Linked DNA regions of Drosophila melanogaster. The protein of the gene in region 4 interacts with the protein of the main gene of each other region in a pairwise test. Each region holds a gene or a part of one and is shown on either strand. Other genes may lie near its edges.

The links.
Region 1: the proteins of Plp (region 4) and spd-2 interact in a two-hybrid assay, tested with the Drosophila melanogaster proteins (2 studies listed by BioGRID).
Region 2: the proteins of Plp (region 4) and Cnb interact in a two-hybrid assay, tested with the Drosophila melanogaster proteins (one study listed by BioGRID).
Region 3: the proteins of Plp (region 4) and asl interact in a two-hybrid assay, tested with the Drosophila melanogaster proteins (2 studies listed by BioGRID).

Annotation. Positions count from the first base shown.
Region 1 is NT_037436.4:16,590,478-16,596,975, forward strand, and holds spd-2 (spindle defective 2), read right to left. Parts: upstream 4,538-6,498; 5' UTR 4,490-4,537; coding exon 4,405-4,489; intron 4,344-4,404; coding exon 3,587-4,343; intron 3,526-3,586; coding exon 927-3,525; 3' UTR 730-926; downstream 1-729. Other genes in the region: tra (transformer), read right to left, coding at 1-278, 527-566; Apl (apollo), read left to right, coding at 5,057-5,122, 5,610-5,782, 5,842-6,498.
Region 2 is NT_037436.4:1,945,829-1,950,991, reverse strand, and holds Cnb (centrobin), read right to left. Parts: upstream 3,428-5,163; 5' UTR 3,207-3,427; intron 3,146-3,206; 5' UTR 3,133-3,145; coding exon 1,969-3,132; intron 1,911-1,968; coding exon 1,749-1,910; intron 1,687-1,748; coding exon 1,349-1,686; intron 1,285-1,348; coding exon 879-1,284; 3' UTR 730-878; downstream 1-729. Other genes in the region: mv (mauve), read left to right, coding at 1-231, 293-413; mu2 (mutator 2), read left to right, coding at 3,543-3,653, 3,712-3,912, 3,973-4,453, 4,508-5,163.
Region 3 is NT_033777.3:5,602,736-5,608,550, forward strand, and holds asl (asterless), read right to left. Parts: upstream 3,809-5,815; 5' UTR 3,712-3,808; coding exon 3,595-3,711; intron 3,539-3,594; coding exon 1,706-3,538; intron 1,641-1,705; coding exon 606-1,640; 3' UTR 501-605; downstream 1-500. Other genes in the region: SecS (Sec synthetase), read left to right, coding at 1-195, 255-430; Rga (regena), read right to left, coding at 4,638-4,857, 4,949-5,113, 5,218-5,422, 5,715-5,815.
Region 4 is NT_037436.4:15,087,020-15,091,782, forward strand, and holds the start of Plp (Pericentrin-like protein), read right to left. Parts: upstream 3,175-4,763; 5' UTR 2,800-3,174; coding exon 2,773-2,799; intron 1,535-2,772; exon of another isoform or gene 1,307-1,534; coding exon of another isoform or gene 1,292-1,306; intron 1-1,291. Other genes in the region: sstn (stepping stone), read right to left, coding at 4,335-4,763.

The DNA.
Region 1 (6,498 bases), 1.5 Mb from region 4:
TCGTTCACTGCTGCGACTTCGGTTGCGATTGCGGCTCCTAGAGCGCTGGCGATGCCTTCTGTGCCTGCTCTCTCTGATGGACGACTGTGATCTGGATCTGGAGCGAGTGCGTCTGGTGGATTGGTGCGCTCTTTGGCGCAATCTTCTCAACCGATCCTGTTCTCGAACCTCGTCTGCAAAGTACGGAATCTTGTGCTCCTTCTTTCTGCTGTCCCTCTCGCTTGATCGCCCATGGTATTCTCTTTCTCGCCGGGATCGAGACCTTGAGCCACGGGAATCTATGTGAAAAGAGTGTGCGGTTAGTCAATGCATCTAACGCATAGTGTTTGGCGCATCGTCGGAGACGGAATCCACGTAATGCGCAGTTGAGAGTCCTATTGTCCTAGCTTCTCTTTCTCTGTCTGGTCGTCCAGCGTTCATTCTCATCCATTTCACATTTCACACAATATGACACTAGAAAAAAAACAACAAAAAGATGGCACTGGATCAGAATCTGATCAGATCGGTTATACTATATAGTGGGTACCTCGATGCTGGGTTCCACTGCTGTCGGCATCCATTTTCATCGGAAAATGCTGGAAATTAAATGATGCACTTTCCTCAGTGTGACCGTACTCGGCTTGCACCTTGCAATGTGCCCGCCAACTCACTTTTCGACGAACTATCGCTACATATACGTTACTTTTTGAATATTCGAGAGCAACATATCAAAATTTAAAATTAACTCATATACTTTATTAGTTTTTATTTAAGCTAAATTCAACTTTTAGGAAACAAGCGAGTATTTTAACTTTAGGGTTATGCGTTTTCCTTACAAATACTCTGCAAACACGGTTTCATTTCACAAGTACACAATACAATTTTTGTTTAAACTAACTACACAAACATAGGGAAAGCAGAATTAGCAGGCACAAATAAAACAAATTTTAAAATTTAAAACTAATCGGGACACTGATGCGCTCGTTTTCCATGGAGACCACAATGAGCGGCTCCCTTTCGAGCAAATCCTGCCTGGGTGAGCGGAGCAGGCGCACATCGATCTCCGCGTGGCCGCCATCCGGGGATACGTAGCACTCACTGGGACTGATTCGCACCAAATCGGGCACATTGCATGTGACCTCGATGAGCTGCCTGGAGCAGAAGCTGTTGGTTACGGACAAAGTGGCCAGTGGCGAACAGCCCACTCCGAATTCCAGCAAACCTGGCTGCACACACCAGTTTTGCTCGACGGGCGTCAACGTTGTGGTGTCCGCCTCCAATAGCTCATCCACTGGCTCCAATAGATGGCTCTGCGTTGGCGTCGGCGAATTGGCCACACATATGGTGCGGAATAGCACGGTTTCGTCGGCCTCCGGCAGGAACATCAGGGAACTCTCAGACGATTCATCAAAGTCCCGATTGAGGGTAAGCGCAACATCAATAATCCGCACTACTGTGACCAAGTCCAGAATAAACTCTGGCGGTTCGTTCAGCTGACCGATGTTGCGCACTGGCTGCTCGTCCGGAAATTCGCCCCAAATGCTGTCCAGCATCGGCGATGTGAGTTTCTCTCGCTGTCGGCTGCTCATCCTTTGGACCAAGCTACGCATACGCTGTCTGTTGGGCTCGTCTCCGCAGAAAATCCGCATATTGGCCAGGGTCAACACCTGTGCGGTCTTCTTAAGTATGTTCTTCAAGTCCTCACGATTCGGTCGGAAAAGTATCTGCACGCAGCGCTCGCTATTTGGCGGCAATATCAAGCGGCTCGGACGTACCTCGAAGGCCTCGCTGAGGCGCAGTTTCATGAGCACGGTGGAGTCCACTGATATACCAACGAAAGCGGTGAGAGGGCCCTTGTTGTGAAACTTGAGATTCGCCGAAAGCGGACCAGCGGACAGCTCGCATACATCGCCGATGGTAAGGAAACTGGCGCCCACCGGTCCCTTTAGCAGACCGTTTATGGTGATGGACGCACTGCCCCCGTAGCCGTACAACGGAATCTCTAGGCCCGGCTGGTTGCTGTTATGCGCTCCTGGTGGTGCATAGAAAGACAAGGCTCCGATGGCCGCTCCACAGACAGTGGGGCAAAAGTTGATCACTACCGAGCGGCATTCCATGGCTTGGAGTGTGATCGTGCTGCTGTCGGTGCCCACCAGCTGGAATCCGGGTCCCTGGATGCCAAGCCGAATGACCAGCCGTTTGTCCGCTGTGTTCTTAACCTGCATGGACTTACGCACATCTGTCCGCAGCTTTGTGCTTCCCCAACAGAGGGTCGTGTGGGTCACCTTTAGGGGGAGCAGTTTTCCATCGCGATGACTGAACTCACTAGAGTTCGAGCAGCGCGAAATACTACGTGGCACTGCAACAGAGCTGGTTCCCAACCCACGTCTTCCACTCGCTGTGAATCCGCTGGTGGAACTGGCCTCACTACCTGCGGGCGAGGAGTTTGCTTTGCGGGCTGCTCCACTCATGAGCTGCCGGCGGTCGGAACTGGTTGTGCTGTCCAGCAGCGGCGACGAGAGACAGCTTCTTGGCGAGGACAGGGGCGATAGATTTTTGGCCAGGTTCGGTGAAATGCCAAAATCACGTTCGGTAGAAGAGGCCACGGCAACGTCACAACCATCCAAGCGAGTGCTGCTTAAGGAGGAGGCTTTGCGCGGAATCAAGCCCATTGTAGCGATCGAAACCCTCTTCTTGTTCACTGGCGTCTTGTCCTCGTCCTCCTCATCGTTTTCATCCTCGGTGCAGGTCAGTGGACGTACGCCGTCGCTACTCGACGGACTTGCGGCTCTTGGAGAAATCTTAGTACGTCTCACTCTGCGGCTAGGCTCCTTTACCGGCGTCGAGGGCCACTCATCGATGTCCGCCTCGGCTTCTGTCTCTACGGGATCGGTGTCCGCACGGCTGATGGTGATTTGCGGATGGTCCGCCAGCGGACTGAGCGGCTTGCGCGAGATGCTCTGCTGCAAATGACGAAAATCCGTTGAGTTTAGCACAGAGTCCGTGAAACTCATGGTGTCGGTAAGCTTGTTGGAGCCGCACGAAGTGCGCTCCGCATGGGAGTTGCTGCTCTGGTTCTCCTTGTTTTCCCCATCGTCATAATTGTTTCCACGACCATGCTCCCACAGGTGGTTGACAACCTCTACAGTGGATGTATCCGAATTGAGATCTATGTCCCTTAGCGCCTTGTCGATCGCGGAGAGACTTAGGATCTCGGAGCTCGACGGCGGACGCTTGGTCTCTTTGGCTGCCAGACCATTCCTGCTCTTTAGCGCAGTTTCAATCCGATCCTGTTGCATCTTACGCATAAGATTGCGTCCGAGATTCGAGCCAGTTATGGCATCCGTTTTAGTGTATGTTTTATTGTCTGGCTGTGGGGTCTTCTCGCCAACCGAATCCAGTGTCACGTTACTTTCTGGTTCCAATAGCGGTTGGTTGGTTCGCGAACGATTCGGGCTGCTATTGCTCACAATGTTCCATATATTTTCCGAACGCGTCTGGAAGTAGTTGCCCAGCGAAAAGTCTGGATCTCCGGCCAAGACAGAACTGTAAATAAAAGTTGAAAGTTGATCAAATTATATTTGGAAGACTATTTTATGTTGCTTACTTGGACACCGAGGTTTCTATCTCGGATGTTGGTGCGGCAATCTTCTTCAACGCCTGTGTGCTCAACGTGGCCGTCGGCATGGCCGTGAACTCCTGCGCCCAGGAGATTTCACCGAGCACCAATTTGGACTGCATTAGCTCGGCGGGAGCAAAGCTCTCATCCTGGCCTTCCGCCGCCAACGAGGCAGATCCAAAGGAAAATCCCCCACCTCCGTTAAGACTCAGTTCACTCATGTCCGCAGTGCGCGGTAAGCTGCGCGAGCAGTTGAATGAATCTGAGAGGCTGCTGGAGCTGCCACGTGATAAGTGATAGCTGGCCTCCGCCTGACTGGCATCCTGCAGCTTCCTTTCCAACAGGCGAGCCTTCTCAACGAAGGATGACTTTAGAATTTCGGCCACCGACAGGGATGGCTTCTCCCTGCGGCGCTGTTTTCCCGCCTGGCAGAGTGTGGACCTGCCGGTGATCTCCGCAGGCTCAAAAGAGATGTTTGTGCCCTTGGTGGCGGGCGTGACCAAAGCAAAGGAGCTGCTGCTGTTCAGATCGATGGTGTCGTCTGTTACCAGCTCCGAGATGTTTGTGGACAAGCGCATCTGGAGGGCAGTGCTCTTTGCTTGGCTGGAACGCGACGGTCGGGGCTTTTCCAGTGTCTCCAGCGCACGCAGTCGTTCTTCTCGGAGCCGCTCGTGGACGGCGGGAGAGTCCCGACCAGTGCCGCTCCTCCTTCCACTTTTGCTGAAGCTGGACAAGTCGCCGAAGACTGTAGGGAATGAGGATTACTTGCTGCTTCGGCTTATTTCCGGCGTGCTCCACCTGCTTACCCTTTAGATTGTCCATGTTCAGGATGCCCAGCGAGTTCTGGTCCATGAAACTGCCATTTCCTTGGCTTCCACTGCTACTGTCCATTCCGCTTTGTCCTTAAACAGTTACAGTTTGCAGTGCGAACGCGAAAACAAAAAAAAGGCGCGTCGCTTCGATCAAAAATGGACGTCGATAAATGATAAAAGATCCAGGGCTGCATACTAGTGTCGAAGCGGCCTTTGCTTACTTGTCCGGTCGATCAAATGTCAAAAATGTAAATATTTTTAGTATTCTACTGCATCACTGCTGCTAGCGCATATATCAAAACTCCACAATAAACAAAAAAACATAAATACACATATATAATAAACAAAAAAACATAAATACATATATTAAAGAAAAATGTTAACACAAGTCACCAATTAACTGCGCGAGATAAATTTACGTTACATCCCCACTCGTTAAACCGCAATGATAACCGCTAGCCAATTCAAGAGTAGAATGTAAAATAAGCTTACGATAAACTGTAAACTGCAACAAGCGCAAAACGTGCGACGGGGATTTCTCCCCGGTATTCCACTTTTCAATTCTCAATACCGCGTAACGTCGTCTGCAATTTGTACCGGATTGCATTGGATTATCCGCCTGGGCGCGAACAGTAACTCCCCAAAAATGGAGGCAGCTATTCTGGATATAATCAACGGGATCCTGACCATAGACACGGAACGAATCCGTGAGGTGAGCAAAGCGGGCCATCCGGCAATAAGAAAGGAGGTTATCCTGGGCGCCAATGGATGTCTTTCATGTATGCTTTCCTTTCTGACTGCTTCACGTTTGTCTGATCAGTTAAGTTGAATCCACACTTAGCTGTAAAAATAGGTGTATAATATTTTTTTTTTTTTTAATTTAATGTTTAATGTTCTATTTGATCAGAACAAACTTCCGAAAACTATTGCACTTTTTTAGAAATAATTATTTATATATAAATAATAATTATAATAATTATTAAAAAAAATTATTATAAAAATTATAAAAATAATTATAATTAATAATAATTAATTAATATTATATTTTTATTTGCATTAAACTCGTGGATATACCATTACATTGCTCGAATGGACGCACACTTCGTCGCTTCCTAATTGAAAAATTACTTATGTTGATAGCATGATAGCATAGGGCCATAAAAGTCGCTAATAAAGTTCCATTTCTTTCGCTTCCTTAGTCCACAGCCAAGATGCTAAAGGCCTACGAGAATCCCGATTCTCTGCTGGTTCTCACCCAGATCGTGATGTCGGACAGGCCGGTCCAAGAGCGGCAGGTCGCCGCCGTGCTCCTCAAGAGGCGGGTCAAAAAGTTACGCCACTGGCAGTTGGTTCCCGCCGAGCACCAGGCAGCGTGAGTTAACTGGTTACCTTTTAATGACTATGATACAGTAACGGATGCATGTTTTTTAGAATCAAATCGAACATGCTACAGGTCCTCATCGCGGTGAAGGAAAAGACCGTGAAGGGCACGGTGGCCTTTATAATTGGATCGCTGGTGCGCCACGAGGAGGGCGAGCAAAACTCCTGGAGGGAGGAAATACTGAAGTTTATTTACGAACGTTGCAGCAGCCCCGATCCAATAGAAAGCGAGCGGGGCAGCTCAATCTTTTCCTCGCTCATGGACGCTGCTCCCGATCAGTTTTCGGACCACACGGATACTATGTTCCCATTGCTTGCCGGCATTCTAGTTACCGCCGAGGCGAATGGGAACATGGCCACACCCACCGTGCATAACATGCTGACCGGTTCATGCTTCTTGTTGCCTTTCGTAAGTGGACATAGTAATGCTGAGCAGATTGTGGTTAAGGCTGTGCCGCTCATACTCAAGGCCCTGGCCGCCTTTGTCGAAAAGGGGTACAGTATTGAGTTCATGGGTGCCTTTGATATCATCGACAGCATGGCCGAGCATGTGCCCCACTTGCTGACCGGTAATGTGAAGCTGCTTCTGGAGTTTTGTCTGATGATTGCGAGAAACAAGCAGTTCGACGCTTCGATTCGGGTTCAGGTGCTTACCTTTGTAGGCAGCCTAGTTCGCCTCAAGAAGAAAATTATTATGAAGCAGAAACT
Region 2 (5,163 bases), about 13 Mb from region 4:
TGTGAATCCCAATGGCAAGTCCATTTTGAGGCTGCACTCAGTGAACGCGCGGTATGTGCAGCACCTGGTGCACGAGGATCGTATCCTGGCCGTGTGCTACTCCTACATCAAGGAAGGAGTGGGTGTCAACGTGATAGCCACTGCTGTGGAGGGAGGATTCGTGCGCTTCTGGTCCAGCTGGAACCTGAGCTTCGTCAGTGAGCTGACCACGGGTACATCGCCCATTCGTAGGTAAGAGAGAAGTGGCTCCATATTCGAATAAAATACAATCTAATCCCTGCTTAACTTGCAGCATTTGCTACTCAACCCATCAGCATTTGGTGGTGCTAACGCGAGAGTCCCATATCCAAGTCTGGGAATCAGAGGGGCTCTATGGAAATGCCCCGAAATTCCCTCAAATCGTCTACAAATAATGTTAATGGGAAAATACTCAATAATTCAACTCAAAGCATATCAATGACAGACACATAAACGATCTAAGAAACAGCTGAATCAAAGAATAAATCCTTTTAAAAGATATAAAATACAACATTCGCTGGCGACAGCCACAAAATTAATATATCACAAGATTCCTAGGCTTAGGTCTCATAGAGCTGTAAAATACACCTTTTGTACCAAAACTTTATATTATTATTACATTTAAAATTTTCACCTTTGTTTTTCCCGTGCTGCATACAAATGCCACGCTGCCTTCAATTGTTGATATTATCAAATAAACAATCATATTTTGCAAAAACTAAACTATTTACTTTCAGAATTCCATAGAAAAATATACAACTACAATGTCCATTGTAGCGGCCATTCAAAGAGGCAGTCATTCTTAAAAAACTACAGGTATTACTAGATAGAATATTACTTGTCGAAAGCATCTCTCGTTGTCAGCACTTCCAAGGTGGAGGCTTACTGTTGCCACTTCCGCTCTTTGGTTTGCTTTGTTTGCTACCCTGTTTGGATGTCATGGCCAAGATCTCGTCGAGCCTGTCGAAATCACTGGGCGACTTGCTGAGCAGCAGTTCAATGTAGGCCTGCAGCTTGTCCATCGGCGAGGGGGGATCCCGTTTGCCCACCACATCCAGGTTATTCTTCTCAGTGTTGTTGCTGCGCTGCGATTTGCTCGATTTGGGCGTTTCTGGATACATGCGTGCATTATTTAGCTCCGGAGATTCACTGGCTTCAGTGTCACTGGATTGGATAATGGAGTTTTGACTAGGAGTGGTGAGGATAGCAAGGGCCTGCTGCCACTGGGCCTCCATTACCCCATGCAGTTTCTCCGCAATATCAGCACTGGAATGGAAAAAAAAACCATTTCTATTTAAACCAGAAAACAAATAAGGCTCTCATATCTTACCGCTTTGTTTTGTAACAGCTGAGCTTGAGATCCATTTCATCGATCTTCTTCGAGGCATTCGCTAGTTGAAGGCGGTACAGCTCCACCTCCTCGTTGTGCTTTTCCTGGATGAGATTCAATTCCTGGTTGTTTTTCTCATTGATCATTTCAAGCTGCTTTACTGCCCGCTCGGCTATGAGTCGTTCACGCTCCCGAGCTTCGTTCTTTAAATGCTCCTCATTCTTGTCCAGTTGGTCCTGGAACTCCTGCATCTTCTTGGCCACAACATTTTCCATTTGCTGTTGGTAGTATTGCTTTAGGGATTTCTGCTGTATATCTAGCTTCTTCTTGAGATTGGTCTGCAAAACAACAATCATTTATTATTGAGTTCTTTTTTTTTTTGTATTTATTTTTAAATAACCTCAGTTTCAGTTAGGTTCGCCAGAGTTTCTTGTAGGGATTTACGATGGCTCTCCAAGGAATCCGCTCTTGCTTTCTGCTTCTGATGATATTCTTGCAGCATTTCCTTTTGATTGGTCAGCGTGTTATTTTCCTTCTCCAGTTCCTCTATCCGCGCTTTTAGCTTATATATAAGAAATGTGGTTAAAGTGGCCGTGGTTGAAATCTTATTTTTAAATTACCTTTTCTTGTTGGTAGTCTACCTTGGCAAACTTATCCCTTAGCTTATTCAGCTCGGCATGTGACAGCTCCTCCGCTCTTTTGCTGCTGTTGAGTTGCATTTCCAGTTGCTCCAGTCTTTCTTCCCATTGCTTGGCGTCTTGCCTGCAATGGTCCAACTCCCTTTCGAGTTTATCATTCTTTTCCTGAAACCTGGTGGCCAAGTTGACCGCCTGCGACAACTCGTTCTGCAGTGCATCAAACCGGCTCTGGGATTCGCCCCTGTCCGCTTCCAGCCGGTGGACAGCGTCCCGCAGGTGCTGAACCTCGTAGTTGAGACTTTGAACTGTTTGCTCTGCCTCGGTGAGAGCAGCATCCTTCGAACGATCCACCTCGATGGCCACTGAGATTCGCTGCTGGTACTCCAAAAGATGCGACTGCAGTGTGTGCACCATTTTCTCCAGATGCTGCCTTCTGAGTTGTTCCTCTTTTAGGGAAGAGCTGCACAGTGGTCGGTTGGGCGAGTTGTTGTCGAGTACAGTTTTGGTCAAGCTGCTCTTGCCCCAGAGCTCGCTCAGACTTATGATCTTGTTCTCATTCAGGCTGCTTCGATCGACCCTGGCTGCTTCGACAGAAACGGCGCCGGAGGATGATGAGGCCAGCCTCATGCTGGGCAGAGACGAGGTTCCCGGATGACCCTCTTTCCCCGCCCGCTCGTTCCTCAGATGATCGTCGCTGCGGTGATGCAGGTGGTGATCGTGCCTCTGCCAACGGTGCGCATTATTGTCGTCTAGGTAGTGGTCGATTTCGAGCAGAATGTTGTCGTCCAGTGGTCGATGGCGGAGGGGCTCAACGGACCCACTCTTCGGCGTGGAGTGCACCATGCCGTGGAGCTCCCTACTTGGCCTTCCAGCGTTCCTTACAGTATTCGTGGATATGGTGGAAATGTCCGAGGGAGGCTCCTCCGCATCCAGTGCGATGTTCTGCAGCCGGGAATTGATGCTATTCAGCTCCGATTTCTTGCTGGGATGTAGGAACTGGTACGCTGCACTTGTGGTCGCCGGGGGAGGGGGCGGGGGCATGGCCAACGCATCTGCCGCCGCGCATGCGCTCATTTTGTCCTCCGCGCAGAAGTTCGGTGGTATCAGGAGCAGCAGATCGGTGTCGTCCGTATCGGTATCACTCATGCCTCATGGTTAACTGTATTAATAGTATGCTTATAGTACAATAATTGTTGTTTCAAAACAAAAGTGAAACTAACCACCGATTGCCATGGTGATGCACAGGGTTGCCAGGTGCACGTGGCAATGCAGGATTATCGAAAACAATGGACTATCGGTATATCACTATTCAGTGTGTCAAAACAAAAACTAAAGCTCGATATTCTAGTCTTCACAAGGCACTATATAATTTTAAAAATAATATACGTTGTTAGTCTTATTTTGCCTTTTGGCATATCTGTTGTAATTAACACTACCGTATATATCGCCTGTTTTTGGCGCCCATTTCAAGTGTGACCGTTCAGTGCGTTTGTTGTTTCCATTTATTGTCTTGTTTTTTTTTTTCGTCCTTCAGTTTTGAAGGAACTGCCGCCAGGATGGCAGATGTAAGCCTGTTTTTTGGCGGTTTGCCGGCCATTCTTCTGAAAGCGGATACCATTTACCGCATTGGGAGGCAGAAGGGCCTGGAAATAAGCATCGCCGATGAGGTAAATTGGCCCTTACTTAAACATTTCCCCTTTAATAACTCCTATCCTCAATGGGCAGTCAATGGAGCTGGCCCACGCCACAGCCTGCATACTGCGCCGAGGTGTGGTGCGCCTGGCTGCCCTGGTGGGCAAGATCTTTGTGAACGACCAGGAGGAGACCGTGGTGGACATCGGCATGGAGAACGCCGTGGCCGGCAAGGTGAAACTCCGCTTTGGCAATGTGGAGGCCAGGCTAGAGTTTGGAGAAGATCACGATGAGGTATGGGCACCAAATACCATTCTTACAGGATGCATAACTTAATGCTTACCCTTCGTTCAGGTCCACGACAGTAGCGGATTCGGGGAATGCCTGAAGAACGGATTAAACAACACAACCTTGGACAGCATGGATGTTCCGGAAACACAGCCTCCATCCGCCAACACATCAGTCAACACAACGGCAGATAGCTTATTTATACCCGAGACCCAAGCGGTGTTATGCGAAAGGCCTTCGACCGGACAAAGAGTGTCGCTGGGCGATGACTTCATGATACCCGAAACGCAGGATATGCTTGCGGATCTTCCACCTGAACCACCAGTGTTTAAACCCCCGGTTATTCCCGTAGTTGATAAGCCAGGTCCGACGATAGACAGCGATGAGGAATCATCTCAGGGCAGCATTATACGCATGTGCACCCAGGATTATAATGAGGATGCCATCGATGACTTCGATACCTCACAGGTACTCTGCGATGTTCTGCTGCCTCTTCCGCCGCCAACAGCACCAATTGAAGGTCTGGAAAATCAGGATACTAAGCGGGGTATGTGCATCCATTGAAACTGATAACTTTCAATAATGTGCGCTTTCTTCTTAGATCAACTGGACACCACCGACATGGAAATGAGTGCCTTGAACTGGTCGGCTAGCAATTCCAAATGCTGTGCTCTGAGTAGCACCAAAGCGGATGATATATTGCCGCGTGGCGATGCCTGCATTACTCCCGATTTGACCGCTCCGTCCGTAGATAGAAATATCTGCACACCCGATCTATTTGACCTGATCATGGGGGGGGATAGGAGGCGCGATGGCTCCAGCAGTCCAGATCCGTTCGTTCGTCCTGCGGACAATACAAATACCGCCACACCGCAGTTTGGCGGAGTTAAACAGCTGGTTGTGGCGACGATTGAGACCCCCACTGCCACTCCTGACACGAATAGTCAGGAAAAGAATCAAGATATGATAGCCACTCAACGATTTCCACGACATAAATTGTTGGAAAGTGACGAGGAAGACAATGGGCAAAACAACCAAGACTTCGTGGCTACTCAGGCGTTTAACTTAGGACGTCCGCAGGCACCACAAGAAAATGAAGCCAATCAAGATCTCATAGCGACACAGGCATTTAACTTGGCACCGCCACAAAAAGTTGATTCACCTAAACCCTCTACAGCTAATGATGCTTCCAACCAAGATTTTATAGAAACTCAGGCATTTAACTTAGGAATCCCACAAGCAAACATGGCTTCACCA
Region 3 (5,815 bases), on a different chromosome or scaffold from region 4:
CAGAGCCACGCGGAGAGATTGTTATAGACAGCAGGTTTAACTCCATATCCTTGGCCATAACATTGGCCACTTTGGCTGGGGATCAGATGAAGAGCATCACCAAGCTTGGCTCCATGCTACACATGCGTGGAGTTTCCGGAGCAAGAGTGATAGTTCCTGGCCAAAATAAAACTATAGACGGGCATGAGTTTCTAGGCAAGTAATATTCACTATCGTCTTTGTTTTCCGACTAAAATTTAGAATATTTCGCTTAGATTTCGGCTCCCACCGCAGCAACCTGCAAGTTCCGTACCTGACTGTAGCGGCAGGAATTGGAATAACCCGAGAGGAGATTGACAAATTCTTCGACATTTTCAACAAGTGCTGGAACCAGATTTTTCAAACTAAAAATGAAAAAATTATGAGCCTACTAGAAACAACAATCAAATAAAAAACCTATTTTTTAATATTAATGATAAACTTTCACTTTTTTAGCTGATTTTTATAAGCACAATTTTGTTAGGAATGTACAGCGACTTTTATTTGTTTAGACAATTTGGCAGTGCATGCAGTAACGATATCCCACTAAAGAGACCTACATATACATATATATATTTTCCTAAGTCTTAGCTGTGACCATTGCCTTTGGGCTTTCTATTTGAGTTGGTGATTGGGTCGCTGCTGCTATTGCTGGGCACGTTCTCTTTGTCGCGGTGCTTCTCCCGACTCCGCCGCTCCAGGTGCTGGTTCATGGTCGCCTCGATCTTGGCGAGTGATAGCTCGTACTCGTGCTTAATGCGCTCATACTCGCGTTTCATGTGCGCCTCCTTGTCCTCGGCATACAACTTGTAATTGTGGGCGGTACGCTTGGCACTTTGATATCGCTGCTGTGCGGATCGCATCGCCTCTTCGTGGGTGGAACGCAAGCTTTCCAGCTGCTGGCGCCAGTGGTGTTCCACCTGGTCGACTGACTGGCGCTGTTTCTCCCACTGAGCCATCACAGCCTTCATAGATTGCCTTTCGGAGTCGATGCTGGCGTGCTGCTCCTCCACTTCTCGGAGCAGTTCGGCAATTCGCTGGTTCTTCGCTTGCAGCTCCTGGCGGCACTTCTGCAGCATTTCCTTTTGCTTTTCTTCCCTGCCGGCCAGAATTTCATCGATATTCTCGCGTTCTGCCAGGATAGTTTGCTTTAGAAGATCCACCTCCGTTTGCCGCTGTTGCAGCTCTGCACACACCGTTTGGTATTCCCTTTGGAGGCACTGGCTCCTCTCCTCAGATTTTTGCAGCCGGTTAGTAAACCTCTTGAGTTCTGCTGCAAAAAGTTTGGCCATCTCATCACGAACACGTTGTTCGATCAACCTTATCCGATTCTGGGTGAGCTCTTTGGGCGATGGATCAGACGGGGAAACTGAGTTTGATTTCGGACTGGGCGTACACTTATTCTGCTGCTTATGCTCCTCTTGCTGCCTAATGTACGCCTCGAATTGCTTGGCCCTCTCCTTAAGATCGCTAATGAGCTCGTCCTGCTTGTTTGAAAGCTCGATCTTTTCCTGCATCTCGGCTTGCAAATTTTTAGACTGCTCCAGCGCGTGTTCCAATTCTTTCAGTTCCTTGGCCTGCATTGAGTTCACATTCTGGAGTTTCAACAACTGAATTTCCGCCTAAAAACCGTGGTGATATATAAGATTATTTAGTTTACTAGCATGTCTGAAAGGTTATCGCTTACCTTGGTAATTTCTGCTATGCTTTCAATGCACTTGCTGCAGTTTTCGGAACTTTCTTTGGCCACCGCAACTGCTTCTTCGCGCTTTTCCCGCTCGCTCCTTTGGCGCAAGGCCTGCAGATCACGTTCGTGGCTGAGTTTCTCCGTTTCCAGAAGCTTTTTTAGCTCCTCTGATTTCATCTCCGCCAGCTGCAAGTTTCGCTGAACAGTGGCCAAGTTTTGGCGTTGATCCTGCAACTCCTTAAGCGTGTCCGATTCTCTCAGCTTTCTCAATTCATAGCCTAATGACTCTTTGTCTGTGGCGATGTCAGAATAGAGTTTCTTAAGCCGCTCGACCTCGCTCTGGGAATCCCTCAACAGAATCTTGTGGCGTTCCAGCTCCAAGCGCAGGTTGTCTGCAGTTTCTCGAGTTCGCAACTGCCGATTTTCCTGCGAAAGCTGATCGTAATTTCTTTGAAGGCTCTCGTTCTGCTGCTTTAGTTGCTCCAGATCTTCTTCAATCTGCTGCCGTTTTTCCCTTAGTGCATCCCTCTCGGCCACAATGGAATTCAGCTGTGAGTGCACATCTGACTCCTGCTGTGATCTGTGTTTTTGCTCTTCCAACTCCTGCTGCATTGCCTTCACTTTGTTTTCCAACCGCATTTTGCCTTCGTTTAGGGTTTCCAGCTGAACCAGGGATTGGTTCTCCTGGTCGCGCAGCACGCGCAGTTCCTGGTTGCGTTCCTCCAGGAGCTTCTCTAGGCGTCGCACTTCTTCCCGCTTGTTCTTCAGGTTGCCCAGAGCTCGATACAACTCCTGCTTAATGTGACCGACTCTGTCTAGAGGATTCAGCGGTGTGCTACCAACAAGGCGCGATCCACCCATTTGACTTAGCCGACTAGTAGGCGATTCGTCCGCCTGATGCTGTTGAATAACCGAATCTATCAGGTCAAGTTCCGTGGTGGTTTCGTTTAGGCGCTCATGGAGCGAAGCGACTGTTTGCTCCAAATAGGCAATGCGGGCTTTCAAGTCAACGATGCACTGTTGCTGCCGACGATTTTCAGCCTGCAAATCGGGTCTTGCACTTAGTTGGTTGCAGCGCATTTGGGCCTCATCCAAAGCTTGACTGAGCTCGTTAATCTTGGCAGCCTTATCTACGAGCATTGTTTCGTGACCAGACTGCAGAGCATTGTAGCGCGAGTTTATCTGATCCAACTCATTTTGCTTGCGATCAAGCTGATCCTTCATCTGACAGAGTTGCTGCTGCAAAAGATCGGACTGGGCTCGGTGCGCTTCCTCCATTTGCTTTAAACGTAGGTCGGCGTTCCGCTCCTCCCACTTCTGCTTACTGGCCTGCACCATGTCGTATTTGCTTTGGACGTCCGTAAGCAAGGTCTTGGCGGCCTCTAATTGACCAACTAATCGCGTGTTATCTTCTTCCAACTGCTTCTTTTCCGACCGCAGCTTGTCCAGATCGCTGTCCTTATTGGAGCACGTCTCTTTGGTCTCCACCAACAGCTCGTGAGTGTTCTGCTTCTCGCGAATGGCGCGGTCTAGCTCAGCCTGCATGATGGATAGGTGCTTTTGTAAGTCATCCAGTTTTTTGTGCGCAGCGTTGGCCACCTGGTTGACATTCTGCAGCTCATTATTCTTAGACTCCAGCAGGATCTGGAGGCGATGCATCTCGATCTCGTTGGCTCGCTGAGCATCGTCCTGCAGCGGTTTATGGTGCGGATGTGATGGGTAGTTGGGTAGAACTGGCGGCTGTTCCAGTTCCGACTGGTAATTCGTCGTCGAGTCGATTGTGTTCTCTTCATCGAGCAGATCGTCGAAGGCATTCACCATAATCCGTCCAAGCTTGCGTAGAATTGGAATCGGTGACATTGTTTACCAGGAATTCCCAGATCGCTTACCTCTTCCTCGCGTCGTTTCTGATCCTGCAGCGCCTCTTCCTCCTCCTGCCGGTCCAGTGTAGAATTTATGTTAAGGGCATCCGCCCCCTGAAAGAGGCTTATACCTGGCGTGTTCATATTCGGCTAAGGGGACGCCACAAGCATCAAATTCAAATAAATTCCGAGGCGCAGGCGCTATTTTCGTAGGCAACTCTAATTTTCTTCCTCTTGCTTCTGTTGACACTTTGACATTAACATAGTAACGCGTGCTGTTAAGTGCAGTAAGCGCTTCTGTAGCGAAAACATTGCGTTCACACTACATACAGTCTAGAAGGGAATTAGGTTTTTATTCTATACTTGTACATAAACTGTAATTGTTAAATTTAAAAATAAATATTTTCCCAAAAAGTTGCCGATATGTCGAAAAGATTGTGGCCCCGACAATAGACCTGCCAGGCATACACAAGCTTGAAGATGATATTGTATGTATGTATTATCATGCCAACTATGGTTCCGTCGTATCATTGATAGGGGGAGCTGTTGTGCATTGCAGAATGCAGTAGATTTGCTATTGGAATATACATACATATGTATGTCGTGTTAGTCCAGATGACAGGTATGTATTTTCAGACACGGCCAGTAATTTTTTATAGGATCACTTTATAGAAAGAATTTCTTCTACCTTTCAAATACATTTCAACGAATCGAAAAAATATAACTTGCTTTTTAATTTAATGGGAGTCCGCTCATTTCATAATATCGAACAGCTAAAAAATGTTACATTTCAAAGATATTCTAAAAATATGAATACCAACTAGACTCCAGCAGGATAAAAATAAATCGCTTTAAATTGTTAACCGGCAATTTGTACCAGAATTTGCACATACATACATATGCATATATGTATGTATATATATCCTAACACCGTTTTAGAAGAAAAACTCAAATGGATTGTTTTTAATTTTTATAATAAAACTTATTATTCAGTTAGTGTTGAGTGTCCTTGTTGCAATGCAAAAACAACAGCATACTTTCTTTTTCAATTTTTTTCATTTTTATTAATTTTATACAGACTGTCCATTCATAAACGCACTTATATTGGGACATTTATCTAATTTCTCGGGATCTATTTGGAAAACCTTGGACAAACGTTTCCAACTTTGCGCATCAAAGTAGTAGAAGGTGCCGCGCTCTTTTGTACCATTTTTTTCATATTGATCAATGCCAGGAATTCGAGTTATCCATATTTTCTCCTCCACGTGGTATCGCCACTCGCGACTATGCCTGCGATGGGAGCAGAATTTTAGTATATATGTATGTTCTATATATGTTCATACGAAGCTTAGATAATAGCTACGCAAGAGGAAGTACTCACAATTCAGCAGCTGCCATCAATTGCATCATATCGCCGATGTTCGTGTAAAAAAGGAAAAAGAGCAGGTCTTCTTGCAGCTTTTTCAGTACCGGCGCTGTTAGTTTGTCTCTTATCGCAAAGTTAATCAGATATTCGGGTGGCACGTTGAACTCAACGTCTTGTGCTCTGAAAAAAGTAAATGCAAATCCAATGTTACTAATTTGGTACACCTCTTACTCAATAGTACTCAATAAGCAATTAAATTATGTAAGTTTATTATGTAAACTGACCTGCAGGGCTGTGCTACGAAGGGGCCAGCGAAGGTTGTATGCAAGCTCTCCTGCGAGTTCAGGTTCAGGCCTAAACCCGTGAGATCCGTACCCAAGGAGAGCGTCACCAGATTGGGATCCGTTTCTGCAGCCCGAATGAACGTCAGCAGGCCAACCATGCCGAACTGGTTGTTCACCATGGTCGCTGGTATGTTTGTGACCTTCCCTATTTATGCAAAACGAACGAAAGGTAAATTTGTTACATTTTTAAATAAATAAAATATTTCATGGTACTATTATTTCTGGATAAAATGGGTCAAGGATAGTATAGCTGTTGGGCTTTTGTGATGTACACCGAAATCACCGAATTATAATATGAAACAAATAATAATAGAAACCAAGAAATCCATTGATTAAATGGTATCAATCATCCATAGAGTGTTCAATTCAAAGCTCCAAATGATCAAAAGGTCAAAAATAGCTCTCTCACATGTTGTGAGAAGTGTTCCAGCACTCACCATCTGGCGAAGTTTGCACGCCGCTCTTTACAAGTTTATCGTTGCTGGAATTATCGTTCAGATGCTCGCCGCCCGCTCCGCTCCCAGACGAGCCGCTTCCA
Region 4 (4,763 bases):
AATAATAAGCCTTTTCCAACTTATATCGTAGATCATACAGTAAATGTCGGCTTACATATATGCAAACTTTTTAAATTTTATTTAAAATATATTTATTGCAATATTTGCTTTAAAAAAAAAAGAGTTATTTCCCATTTATATTAAGTTTAAATTGTAATTTACATACAATTCAAGTCCGTACTGTATTTTGAACGACTGAAAAATATATTTTCCATATTACACATACGCCATGTGGGTCAGGCCGTAACGCTTGACAAAGTTTTCACAATATTAGCGGAAAATGCTTGTGAAAAAGTTATCCAATTCCCGGCCACATGGTGGTTTGAACGTCCTTGAACTTGTCAGGACAAAGACAACAACAACACATTCAGGAAGTACCAGCACAGCGATAAGGATATCGGGATAACAAGTTTGCACCTATAACCATGACAACGGATTTTCTTTGAGTGTGCGTGAAAAACGAAAACGAAAGTCTTTTACATTCCTTGCAAACATTTCAATTTGTTGCTATAGTTTGGACCTCTTTTGTGGGCCGTTGTTTGGGTGTGACACACATTTCAGTTGGATCGTCTGAGGTTTTTGCACTTCGGCGACTAATAACAACAATGCCACTCCCCTTTGGAACGGGAAAAGGGGCGAAGGACCTAGCCCAACGTCTCTGTTAATGGCGCTGACGCCTTTCCTTTGATTTTCCACAAGATATTGTCGATAAACCCTCAATAATGGCACGCATATTGGCGAAAATGATTAAATTAATAGCTTTGCCTGGCGCAGAATTGACAGTGAAATATGTTGGACAAAAATAAATTCGGATTGGAGAAAGGATTTTCTTTTGCGTTGCTATGAAGAAAGGTTATTTCATTTAAAGGGTTTAGTTTAATATAAATTCTTAAACGCTTGCATTTAACATTTTCATATTTTATATAAAAATTTACATATGAACACACAATTTATATGATTGTGAAGTAGATGATGAATTGCTTTATATCCTATACCCGCATTTTATTTGATTTACAAACCAAATCTTTTACAGCATTATTCTTTCAAATAGTAATTCTAATAAATAATATTCAAGAACAATTAAGAATGAGATCGTATCGTAACTAAATTTATAGAAAATATGGTAAATACTGTATAATTTTCTCTAAGTACACTGCAATGCAAAAAAAATCCACTAATTTGGTTCATTATCATGCGGTTTCGAATGATATTAACACACTTTGGCTGGCGAGTGATGCAAATGTCACTGGGCGATGCTAAAGATCACATTGCGGACAATAACTGAACTCACATGCAATTTCCCCATTTCGCTGCCCGCCACTCATTCGATTCAATTCAGCGATGAAGAAGTTATCTCAATTAAATGCAATTTACAATCACTTAAAAAGTCCATATATCGACAATGGCTATTGAGGGTTACATTGTGCAAACTTCTACGTATATGCAAATGTTTCGTAGATTTTTTTAAACAATTTTATGGGATCACAGGCACTGACACTGCACTCTTATCTTTATAGAGCTATAAATGTGCGGAAAACCGAAAAACGACGACGCGACCGCCTGCAGTGCAGGTTCTTTTATAAATAAAACGCCCGAAGAGACATTCAATTGAAATCAGTCACTCAATCCGAGGAAAATCAAAAGAAAAGCGTTGGAAAAGAGCAGCCACGGGAGAGGCCGAGCGATTGAGAGCGAGTGCCGCGGAAATTTGCAACGCGGTTCCAAGCGGTTCCGTGCACCGAATGTTCGCTCCCATTTTTTATTTATAAACAAAATGTGTGTGTGGAACATAAATTTGTTTGGAAGATGGTGATAAATGCAAAAGAGTAGTTTTAAAAGCATTTAGAACTATTGTTTTACGATTCGCGATTGCGATTGATACTGAAGTAGCTATATATATAAGTACTTAGAATTAGTATTATAATCAGAATTAATGTCCCTCAAAAACTGTTATATTTCATTTTTTATAGTTAGTAATTTATAATTATTCTATAATCATCATAAAACATTTTAAGTTAAGTTTAAAAACTTGAAGTTCAAATTTTATTTTAAAATTTGTATACAATAACAATTTAATATAAGAAATTCGAGCCATTAATCATTTCGATGAATATTAAAAATTTTTGATCATTTTCGTATACATTATCCAAAAATTTTCATCGTATTGCGGTACATGTATTAGATTTATTCAGCAACAAGTTGCAGAAACATTCTTTCCTCAACAAAATCGATAAGCGAATCGGTTATTGTAGCGAGACATTTTTTCAAAAATATGAATATTGATGTTTATAATAAACAGGGAAACAGTAGCCAAGATTCACTAATAAATGTATTAGTTATTTAACAAAGCAATTAAAACCGCATAATGTGGACAATTCAATTATAATTTTCACTTAAAAAGTTGCTCTATAATAATAAAAAGTATGCTATTCAATGATATAAAATATAATACTTATTTAAAAAATAAAATATTATTTAAAATTCCTAATCCGTTGGGTATTTTTCACTGTAGATTGTTTACAGATTTCGGAAGGGCCTTGTGGTCTTCTAATCGAAAGTTCAAAGGCGCATTCAATTTCGATTTCATTTGTAAACACACTTGAAAAACAACATGTTCTGTTTGTGGATCGTAATGAATTGAAAACACACATATCAAGGCGCATTCAACCCACATTTTGTGGATTTTATGCACAATCCGAGAGCACAGATGATGGATGTTCGGCTCCCAAATGGGTTAATACTTTAATGGATACCCCTGATTGTTTGGCTTACCCAATCGTATATAGTGTACAGATTCATGGTGACTGCACTTGAACCAAATAATTTATGGCCTATTCCCTGTTTTTTGGCCGCCTTTGTTGACACTTGCGCCTGTCAGTTGGCTATATCTATAGGCATTCTAGATGTGGCCCAAATGCGATCCATTTTCTTGTTGATGTTTTTACGTAGTGGTTTTGATGACACTATATTTTAGAATTTTTTCGGGTTGACTTGCTTACAAACACAGACGAATGCAACGAACCGAATAATTTTGTAGGTTAGGTTGGAGACTTTACGTAAAATTTGATATTTTTTTAATTTAAAGTTTAACACGAAGACAACACAATGGGGGAAACTAGCTACTTAAAGCGTGAACTCTTAATTTATCATTATGTGATTTTCAATGCTCCTCGAGGGAGAAAGAACCGACAAATTTGAAACTTAAAAACAAAAAAAAACCAATAGTGCAACCGATCTGAAACAGTTGCACGTAATAGCGAGCGCGATGCAACTGAGAACCAAATCCATTGCGAAGAGTCTTTATATTTTTGGGGTATCGGGGGATATCCACGCTCTTTTTCTCCCCATCCAGATACTGTAATGCTCAGTGAAGCACAACAAGAGATTGTTTAAAAATAATCAATCGTAAACAAAATTTGTTGCAGTGGCATTGAGTTGGGGAGAGTCCAAAAGAGAGAATTCAATGTACTACTACCAGATCGCGAGAGAAACAAAGAGAAATCCGAGAGATAAAGGGGAGGAAAGTAATTAAGTTTTATCGGTTGTTCTATAAATAAGTTTTAACCAGAGATTAAGGAACTACAAGATATATTCGATAAGGAATGATTTAAGGAAGTGAGAACACATTTATGGGTATAAATGAGACATTTATTTATAGGCTAGGGAAATATAAAGCTTTCTTTTCATTTCAATTATTCAAAAAATCTGAAATGCTACAAGAGCATTAATAATGTTTTGAGAAAAATATTGGAAGTTCAACGAAATATTTGAATGCTTAAATATCAATAAAAACGCACTCGCATATATTTTAATATAAAATATTTATTTTTATCTATTTGTTATTGCTTGTCGGTAGTTAGTCTTAAGAAAACTCGGTGAATATATCAGTATCCAATCGGTATATTCATATAAAAATATCATTCGATTAGGGTAAATATCCTTTATACACTTATTAGTTAGCTAGTCAGTTATTTGTTTATAAATGCTGTTAACTATATAAAATATTTCCATATTTTCTAGGCATCCTGTTGTAAGGCGATTTCTGTCCCCCTCGGGGATAATATTGTCCTGTGTTTTTTGTACTTTAAAAATTCAATACAAAATTTGAATGTCGTTCGATAAATTGCTTTCAATACGTCAGTTTTCAATTTGGCAGATCTTTTGAGCATTGTTATTTTCTTGATCCTAAATAATTTGGCTAACGAACTTAAAATTCGAAAGGAGTCCAATAGTTTGAGCTGCTTTTGCTTTGTAGTTTCTCAGTGCTACAAAATTAGTTTAGTTAATCACATTAAAAGGTGAAAGTGCATGAGAATTCCGTACAACCTTATAGGTCAATTAGGATTTCCGCCCTCCTTTTGCTTAAACTTGGTGGAGTATTTGTAGAAATCGGACATCTCGAAGGGTTTCGTCACTTCCTTGTACGGCTGGAAAGTGGCCTGCTGAACTACGGTCATGTTTTTGGGCGACTCGATGCGAATTTCCGGCGATAAACTGGCTGTGGCCACTGTTACTGGCGGTGACACAAGCGCTGTTTGGACAGCATTCCCATGAGCAAGTCCGCTTGAACTGCCATTACCACTGTGACTTAGGTTCTGGTTCTGAGTATGAGCCTGATTTGCGGGTGGCGGTCTGGGCGGCGGCGTTGGCTGCTGCATTTGACTTGGCTTGGGTGGTAAGTTTCGCAGTGCTGGTATGTCCAGAGGTTCCAGCGGATACGATACCGATATCCCCAAAGTTTGCTCCATTGCATTGAGATACGA